2 separate regions of the Mus musculus genome follow, and region 2 is reported to be linked to region 1. The links are microRNA targets in miRTarBase. Many come from high-throughput screens and were not tested one by one. Region 1 holds a microRNA gene; the other region holds the end of a gene's coding sequence.

The links. Region 1 holds the annotated microRNA mmu-miR-878-5p (UAUCUAGUUGGAUGUCAAGACA, at 1,513-1,534, shown strand). A microRNA usually pairs through its seed, bases 2 to 8, with sites in the 3' UTR of a target mRNA and lowers its output. Matches are read on the target gene's strand: a 7mer-m8 pairs with bases 2 to 8, a 7mer-A1 pairs with bases 2 to 7 and ends in A, and an 8mer does both.
Region 2: miRTarBase lists Prokr2 as a target of mmu-miR-878-5p. Seed matches in the 3' UTR shown: 7mer-A1 at 2,274-2,280.

The regions. Positions count from the first base shown.
Region 1 is chrX:66,798,015-66,803,087 of GRCm38, reverse strand. It overlaps Mir878 (microRNA 878), which reads left to right and starts at 1,503; the gene lies at 1,503-1,580. Mir463 (microRNA 463) reads left to right here and starts at 3,791; the gene lies at 3,791-3,865. It overlaps Mir880 (microRNA 880), which reads left to right and starts at 2,481; the gene lies at 2,481-2,558. Mir881 (microRNA 881) reads left to right here and starts at 1,067; the gene lies at 1,067-1,144.
Region 2 is chr2:132,369,237-132,374,309 of GRCm38, reverse strand. Prokr2 (prokineticin receptor 2) reads left to right here. Exons shown (of 3, transcript NM_144944.3): 3 at 220-3,981. The coding sequence ends at 916. Among named protein-coding and RNA genes, the nearest start is that of Prokr2, 14 kb to the left of the region's middle.

The DNA.
Region 1 (5,073 bases):
ATATTCAGTGATAAACCTAGAAGTATGTTTCCTAGTTTATCCCATGCTCCTTAAAGTTTAAAATCAGAATAACTTATTCATTATACATTAATGTTCTTGTTTGTATGGGAGCAAAGTGTTGTTCCAGATTGAGTAAAATGCAACCAACTCTTTTAAGAGCAAGCTTCACCAAGTGTATTACTTTATTAAACTTCTGGATATTGACCTTTGGATAGCTCCTAATTTCTTTGGCTGGTCTTTAATAATCTTAAGTAGTCCTGTGATATTTCTAGTTCATAGGGTTTATTAATGATGACTTTATTTCTATTCTTTGTTCAGTTGACTCACATGTATTAGACAACATAAAAATACTTTACTTATAAAAATTGGAAATGAAATAAACATGCATTATTGGTCATTCGATTCAACGAAGTAAGTAACAATATAGGATCAAAGGCTTTCATTTGTTATGCATGATGAATGACCATATCGTAAGCACAATTAAATATGTTAGGAATAAATTAATTCAGGGTTCAGGAGTCACACAGGACTGATAAATGTTCTAGTGATATAATAATAACAAGAATCATCACCTTCAAATACAGCAAAGTTGTTCTCTTTGCAGTGCCTATATGTCAGTGTCCTTTATGCATAGTTTAAGTCTTAGAAAATAGCATCCTATGTCATGGATGACCACAAATTGAACCCAGTCTATTCAGAATCATCATCATGCAAACTTAATATAGTGGTATATTACAAGATAGAGGAAAGAGGCATTGTGATTATTTTGATTCCTATTCTTAATCATTAATTGTCTTAGATTATAAAAAAAAGGACAGGATTAAGTATATACCCTATAAAAAATAAAAATTAGTTAAAGATTATATTATTGATTCTCCAAAACATCTAGTTTGTAAGAATGTATGTCAGAAGGCCTGTGGTTGTCATAAATATGATTGGGAATGAGATTTTAGAATATGTGGTCACATTAACATTCATATTAACAATCTGAGTGTGGTATAATATGAAATATGCTGGTGTTTGGGACAGGCTGATGCTATTCCTCATACTCAATGAACAAATTGTGTGCAGTACAATATTCAGAGAGATAACAGTCACATCTTTTCTAAAGTAACTGTGTCTTTTCTGAATAGAGTAATGTTCACCAAAAACAGCCTTAGTGATATACTCACTGAAGATCACAGGAGGCACTGTATCATAACACATCCTCAAGATTGATACGGCGGTAACTTCAATCGTCATTGGGGATCATCTTAATATACAAAGATGCAATCTGTTTATTTTTCTGGATAGTATAACTATTCACTGAAAAGGAAAGTTAGTTACAGGACATGCTTTATGTAAAAGCGTGGTGAAGGAGAGTGATTAATTATTCTCAAAAGTAGATGGACAAATTATGTCAAAGGATAGTTATCATGTTTTTTTTTAATTTAGTCTCTGATAAAAGCTGAAGTGTATGATAGAGGCTTCTTATACAGCAAGTTAATGAAAAGAGTGTTGTGTGCAATGCTTTATCTAGTTGGATGTCAAGACACGTGAAACTTAAGTGCATGACACCACACTGGGTAGAGGAGGGCTCACAGTGTTCCTCATTTGTTGTGGGCTTGGGTGGTCACAGTGCTGATAAATGAATGCTGCTGTTAGTTTGGCTGCACAGAAATAGAACCATGCATATTGTGTTTCTAGGTGTATTTATATTGTTACCTTTACATAAGGAATGTTGTGTTAGTGTCAGAAAGAATCTCTTTAAGTCAGACAAGAAAAAATAAAGTACATTAACACAGTTCCCAGTACATGAATACATTTATAAAACCTCCACTCTTTATTTTGACAGTCATTTCCCTTAGAAGAAGGCAAGTAAAAGGATTTATGGTATGAGAAACACATACTAAAGGTGTTTGATAATATGATTTTAAGCCTAAATTACAGAAGAGTTCAAACATTGTGGTTTGATGACTATGTAATAAAATGGGCAGGAGATGAAGGAAGCTTTTGTGACAGTGTCTACTTAAATACAATTATGCTCATTTTTATATTAACATTGGTACTGATGAGATGAAGTCCTTATGACCATGGATTTTCTTAAAGGAAGGTTCAGCAAGTAACTCATATAATGGCCTCTGTATGTAACCAAGGTAACTTGAAGTTCCTATTTATAGAGGAATTTTTGATATCTGATGGCTTAAATTCTCTTTAACATTCTTTGGACAGTCTGTTCTTAATCTTATGAACCTCATGTTAAATAATGTAAAGAAAGGTGCTAACATAAGGTACTTTTATTAGTGCATACATGTATAAAGTTAAATACTATAGATCATAGAATATGAAGAGTTGTGAAAGATAAAGTGCAGTATAGTCCTTTTAAACCTATGAATAAATAAGGTATTGTTGATGTATCTAACTATATTTATATAATTGCTGGAATATACTGAAGATTGTGGGATCAAGCTGAGACACAGGACATCACTGAACAAACTGTGTGCACTGCAATACTCAGATTGATATGAGTCACTTCCTATTGCATGTTACTCCATCCTCTCTGAGTAGAGTAAGGCACACCAATCACCAGTTTTGGTACCTGTAAATGTCTCATGTATGGATATGGTGAGGTTGATACATGCATGCATATTAGATGTGTTTTCCAGTCTTCAGCTTCAATGTATTACACTTCACCTTAGATAGCTTGGATGAGTGAACAGACTACAGAAGGATAAAAAATGATCTTTTTGGGAAATACTACGGTTCAGAGAAAATGGCAGTCAGCTAACTTTCATGCTAGTGAAAACCATTCTTCTGAAGCTGGAGGAATGTTAAAAAGATAGGTTCTTGATGGAATCCATGATGATGCATGAACAAATTAGACTAGCATTTAGTTATCATGTGAGTTGGTAACTTGATGCAAGCTAAAGATAAAAAGGGGATTGTAGAGGCTAGATTTCAACATTTCAACATTTACATATAATGTATGCTGCTTTAGCTAATTTTCTGTGCACCCTGGGAAACATAAAAGATGATATCCCATATTGGGTAAGGCAATATTTAATGAAGATTTCATTTGTGTACTCACCTTATGAATATATACAAGTATGTAAGCATAAAAGTGCAAAACATTTAGTTTATTCTTCATATGAATTAATAAAATGAATTTAATTTTACAGATACAGTGTTGGCAATCATCTACGCAAACTACAGGTCACTGTATCTACCATATATTGTTCTTATATGGATATTTAAAACAGAGTTGTGATACTCATTTCTTCCCTACTCCCTCACTTATCCTAGAATCTTACCTTGCTCCACAGTTAAACAATGCCCCCCCCCATTAGTCTCCTTTCCTCTTCCATACCACCTGTGTTTTGTTACCCTTTTAGTAAGCTTTTCTCACAACTCTCTACCCAGTGGCCTTTTTCTATTTTTATGGGTTCTGTAGTTATTCCTTGCTGAACACACAAATCTAATAATTATTTTAATACTTGCATGTTACAGGAGGAAGAAAAATAACTTCAACGAGAAATTCTAACTTATATAAGTGAAATTACAGTCCCCCGTATTGTCTTGGTAGAGAATACCATTAATTGAAACAGAAGACACATCAGAGGATATTCTCTTGGAGGAATTTTTGGTGACAATTTGTAGATTGTGTGTGTGTGTGTACATATATGTATATATATTATACACAAAGTATGTCAAGTTTTAGCAACAATGTACAATTGGTACTTTGCTAAAAGATAAAGAGGATCATGGAAGCTACATTTGCAACATTTTTATATTAAAGGTATGATGTACCCTGCTTTACCTAATTTGTTGTCCATCATGTAAAACATAAATGATGATAGACACCATATAAGGTAGAGGAAGGTTCACTATGTTCATCACCTGGAACATCATTGTGGTATAGAAGCATTAACCCTTGTTAGAGCTTGCTGGCCTTAATTTGGCATTTGTATCTAAAGGACCAAAGTTTAGTAAGGTGCATTTATTCTTTTTTTTCCCATTTTTTATTAGGTATTTAGCTCATTTACATTTCCAATGCTATACCAAAAGTCCCCCATACCCACCCATCCCCACTCCCCTACCCACCCACTCCCCCTTTTTGGCCCTGGCGTTCCCCTGTACTGGGGCATATAAAGTTTGCAAGTCCAATGGGCCTCTCTTTCCAGTGATGGCTGACTAGGCCATCTTTTGATACATATGCAGCTAGAGTCAAGAGCTCCGGGGTACTGGTTAGTTCATAATGTTGTTCCACCTATAGGGTTGCAGATCCCTTTAGCTCCTTGGGTACTTTCTCTAGCTCCTCCATTGGGAGCCCTGTGATCCATCCATTAGCTGACTGTGAGCATCCACTTCTGTGTTTGCTAGGCCCTGGCATAGTCTCACAAGAGACAGCTACATCTGGGTCCTTTCAATAAAATCTTGCTAGTGTATGCAATGGTGTCAGCGTTTGGATGCTGATTATGGGGTGGATCCCTGGATATGGCAGTCTCTACATGGTCCATCCTTTCATCTCAGCTCCAAACTTTGTCTCTGTAACTCCTTCCATGGGTGTTTTGTTCCCAATTCTAAGGAGGGGCATAGTGTCCACACTTCAGTCTTCATTCTTCTTGAGTTTCATGTGTCATTCTTCTTGAGTTTCATGTGGCATTTATTCTTTAATGTTAACCTTGCAGACACATCAAGATTTATAAACATTCAGATACAACAATCATTACATGTTTTTAAATTACAGATTTAGTTCAGTATATTTTTAAATTATAATTTAATTATAATATTTATACCTCTTATTTTTCCCTCCAAACACTTTCATATTTCCCTCCCTGCTCTCCCTCAAATTGATGATGTTTGTCAATAATTGTTACTGAATGTATTGATGTATTTTTATATAGCTATTTATTCCTAAATATATTCTGCTAAGTCTGTATAGTGTTACTTGTTTGTATGTTTTCAGGATGAATGTTTTGCACTAGACAACCAAATGGAATGTTCTTCCATGAGTGCTGGGAGTTAGGAGACATCTCCCAATACTGGCTTTTCTAGTTGTGTATAGTTCTTTGTGTAGGATTGAGGAATCATGAG
Region 2 (5,073 bases), not on the chromosome of region 1:
ATGTCAGGCAAGGGAGAACAGCCATTGCTTTAACCCAGAAGCTGTTTCCATTAAATCAGTGCTCTAAAAGCCAAGTGGGGCTGTTAGTGAGCTAATGCTGCTTAAACCTGGGTCGGAGGCAGCTGGGGATTCACTGTGCGGTTCCAGCTCTCCGGGCTGGTTAAAAAGCAATCGTGCTTCGAAATATAACCATCACTGCTGGCTTCCCTCTCCCTTCAGATACCTCGCTATTGTCCACCCTTTGAAACCACGGATGAATTATCAGACCGCTTCCTTCCTGATCGCTTTGGTCTGGATGGTCTCCATCCTCATCGCTGTCCCATCTGCCTACTTCACCACAGAAACCATCCTCGTTATCGTCAAGAATCAAGAAAAAATCTTCTGTGGTCAGATCTGGTCGGTGGACCAGCAGCTCTACTACAAATCCTACTTCCTCTTCGTCTTCGGGCTTGAGTTCGTGGGTCCCGTGGTCACTATGACCCTGTGCTATGCCAGGATCTCCCAAGAGCTCTGGTTCAAGGCTGTACCTGGCTTCCAGACGGAGCAAATCCGCAAGCGGCTGCGTTGCCGCCGCAAGACAGTGCTACTGCTCATGGGCATCCTCACAGCCTACGTGCTGTGCTGGGCGCCGTTCTATGGCTTTACCATAGTGCGAGACTTCTTCCCCACGGTAGTTGTGAAGGAGAAGCACTACCTCACCGCCTTCTACGTCGTGGAGTGCATTGCCATGAGCAACAGCATGATCAATACTATATGCTTCGTGACGGTCAAGAACAACACCATGAAATACTTCAAGAAGATGCTGCGGCTCCACTGGCGGCCCTCTCACTACGGGAGTAAGTCCAGCGCTGACCTCGACCTCAAAACCAGCGGGGTGCCTGCCACTGAAGAGGTGGATTGTATCAGACTAAAGTAGCCTTCAGGTGTTGCCCAAGGAAAAATTTAACATTCGGTACTCAGTAAATCACACACCATCAACCACTCACAAGCTACATGGAAAGATACGGCTGTATTCACGTTCTCCTGCTCTAATGTATCAGGACGCTTCTATGTAATAACATACAGCACAACTGATGTCTGCATAACATCTTAGAAGGCAGACACAAATAGTAACAAGTGATGTGGACTGAATGCTTCTGTCTGCAAACCACACCAACCAATTATTCAAGGACAAGAGCTGACATGTGAGAATTACCTGCTATGTGCAAAAACAAGTTACCCCCCCAAAAAATGATAGAAGCTATTTGGAGTTATTCAGCTCTATCTATCTATCTATCTATCCATCCATCCATCCATCCATCCAGGTCACTAGAAAGAAGTCACAAATGACTAGCCAGAGTCATGCTACATATTCTTTCATTCTGTATCTTTTCTGCACAGAACTGTCAAAGGCAATAGAATAAAGCACCTAGACATACTAGAAATGTAAGGATAACTCCATCAATAGGGAGACCAAGGCCTCATAGGAAGAGGGTCCATATAGTATACTGACTTTCCCCACTCCACACCAGTTATCTCCTTAGATATTCTGTACTTATCTGCAATGATGTAATTTCAAATGAGGAAAAATAAGGGGACAGGCTTTACCACAGATGTATCAAATCTCATCAAGCCCATAGGGCAAAGATGGGAGGCTCCTGACACAAGAAATGTATCCAGTTCTGGATAACTTTAATGCCAAGCATTTCAGGGCTCTGGGGTCTTGGAGGAAGAGGACACAGAAAGAGCCGAGGTTTCCAGTGGCAATGAGTATAATCTGTCCATTTGCTATGATTTGGACAATTTTCTAGAACATACTCCGACTTACAAAAGGAACTCTACTTGAGATCCAAAGATCCGGGTAAAAGTCCTAACCCCAGGACTCATCTCTGTGTGTCTCCACTGTAATGAAATGGAAATAATGAAAACGGATCATTAGGAACATCAGCCCGGCGAAGTCATGGTGTGGATGTGATTTTCACCTCTTCCTTTGTGAAGAATGAGGTCGTGAAAAGCTCATTAGAGGGAGTTTGGAATGGAGAAACAGCTCCACACTTTTCATCCCTCTTCTTTGAATCAGAGACCACTAAACTCATCTTTGAAGTAGCGTATCTATAGTGAGGCATAAAGGTCTCCCTGTCACAGAGTGCAATCAAGAAGATAGAGTCAATGCCCATACCCTCAGCATCCCTGTGGTCTTAGACAGTCTTCCCAACAAAGCACTGGTGGACCCCAGGACTGAATTCACTTGTATTATTATGTCATCTACTGAATACTAGGGTTGATCAGGTTAGCTAGATAGGTATTTTCTTCCTCCTTCACAGCCCCATATGTATCCCTCCCTTAAACTCAGTTACTAAGGAAGACCTTCTTAAACACAGGAGAACCATTATTCTGTCCAGGACACAAATAACCTCTCCAGTAGACACTGTACCCTTCACATGTCAACAGAATTTGCCTCCTTCTTGTATTTAAACATATCATCCTCCTTTCATTTAGATTTAACCAGAAACCATTCCTGTAAATTTCAATGTGTTTGTGATACCCCACTGTAAAAAGCGTATGCTGTTATCATATGGAATAATTAACATACAGAATTGTAATCGTAGTTCCCAAAAGGTTCCCTACTCGTGTTGTATCTTATGTTTATATGTTTGATGTAAATGGAGCTGTGTAGCTGTCTAAGCAGCTCAAGCCTGAAATGAGGGAATGTCCAATGGTGTTCTTAGAGCAGGGCCATCTCAGGCTAGCAGCTGGCCTCAGTCTGTGCTCTCTCGGGAGTGTGTTCTTAAATATGAATTAGCAGCAAACCATTATCCTATGTGCTCCCTTGTTTATAAACGATTTTTAAAATGCAGGCTTCTTTTCACTTAGCGAATATTTGTGCGTCTGGCTAGAACTAAGGTAATAAGTTAATTACATTTTTCAGTCTTCCCAAGACTAATTAAGGGTAAGATTAAGACACTCTTAACACGTCAAGATACGTACACACTTATGCCTCCTATTTCATGGAGAAAGTTAATATCACTTAGCAAAGCCAGATCTATTTTCTTGGCCACATTATGAGAAAAGATGGTTCGACAATGAAGCTGTTACAGATTTTTGTTATGCATCCAACATTTAAAATAAGTTACTTCTAAATTTGGAGAAATCAAAAAAAAAAAAATGCTTCAGGCCCTCAGGCATGACAAACAACTCCAGACTTCACAAGGAACAATGTGACATTTGGGAGGTAATTAGAAATCTTAACACAAGTTCTGTTTCTACTTAAAAATGGTGGCTCCAAAACCCATCTTTGCATCCAACCATATACTCCCTTGGCCACAAGAACACACACACACACACACACACACACACACACATCACTAGAACACCATACCAAGAAATGCCTTGAGAACATTCAGCTCCTTTCTTTGGTGGATCTGAATTCCGAGAAAGGAAATCACCTATAACAGTACACAGTTGATTCTTTCTAGAGCTAAAGCCTTGCCCTAAGATTTTCTCTCTAGGACAATGAGCAGCTTTCAGTGACTGCCCATACTTGAGTCCAAAGGACCTGGCACACTGTGGTATCAGGTTCCAGAGTATGTAGAATCTTAAGTCTCTAGGTTGCTTTGCTTGTTCATTAAAAAGAAGTTAGATCCCCATTCTGGATACCTTGTGGTATAAGGTAAGATCAAGAGACAAAGTGTGGGTTGTACACAGGGATTCCTTGTAGACGGCTGTTGGAGGTTCATGGTATCCAACTCTATCCAGAAGATGTTCAAAACATAACATCCAGTTCTTATAAATGAGCATTTCTCTAAAAAGTTTTCCATCCATAGTGCATCTTAATCAATTTTAATTTTAACATCTACTCCCTTTTCTACATACAGTTGAAAATATTACGTATGTGTATCCTCATGAGTTGTTATGATATATATGCATATGCACAGTCTCATTGTTGTAGGATTGCATGTTTGTAGATTTGTTCACAAACTAAAATATATTTGTAATCCCCAAGTTAGTGTTCCTGATGCTTTTATTGGCATTTGTACAGGCACACAAAACAGTGACTTTTAACTGCGGTTGAACAAAGCAGACAGATCTCTCTCTGGCTTCTCAGGCTGGCTCTATGGGTACAACAGGCTATAGATTTTGCTCCCGTCTCTGACCACTGGTTTCTGTGATGGCAGACAACATGGGCTTTAGCATCCTGTCACATATGCCTTCAAAGTACATTTAGGTCCTGTGTTGTGTTTGGAGGCCTTTTCTCGTTTGTCTCGTTTTTTATAGGGCCCCAAGTGACCTTAAGTGATCTCTCGTGTTCCCAAGAACAAAACAGCTGTGATATATCTTAAATAGAAAATAAATGTTAGAGAAGCTTTATTTTAGTGGCATTGGCATGAAGTCAATGTCAAGCAGGCAAGTACATGTTAAATAAAGTTATATTTAAATAGAAGCATGCATTTAAAAGATTGTATACAAAATGTGGCCAGTAGCCTCAGGTGTGTGATCCCAAGCTTTCCTTGTGAGCAACTGATCAATATTTGCTACTTCTTTCATACATACAATATTTTCTAATTCATGTTTAATCACTTTATTGGGCATTCTTGTGAAATGTAAGGATTAAGTCCTGTTTCTTGAGTTCAAGCCTTGTTTGTCACAACACATAACTTAGAACTCTAGCTAAATGAAGCCTGAAGGTCTAAGATTTTAATTAACCAAACTGACATTTTTCTTGAAGCATCCCTGCCACCACCTCCTTCCTAGTCTGCCACTTTGATGCAAATTAAAACCCTTGACGAGGGAGCCCTATAATGAAACTGTACGCACTTACCCAAGCCACAGCCCACACCTTCTGCAGATCACATGTCCTAAGAAAAAAGCTTTCTCCTTATTAAAAATCTTAGAGCTAATGGCTGGCAGTTCTGTAGTGCTGTTACAGACAGGGAAGAAGACACACACACACACACACACACACACACACACCCTCTTCATCCCACAGTGGAAAGGAGGATGGCACTGTCAAAGACTTTAACTGAGTGTTTATGTTGCATTTCAGAAGAAAGAGGGTAATCTTTGCAAAGCCATGGTGAGGGACTGTTGTTAATA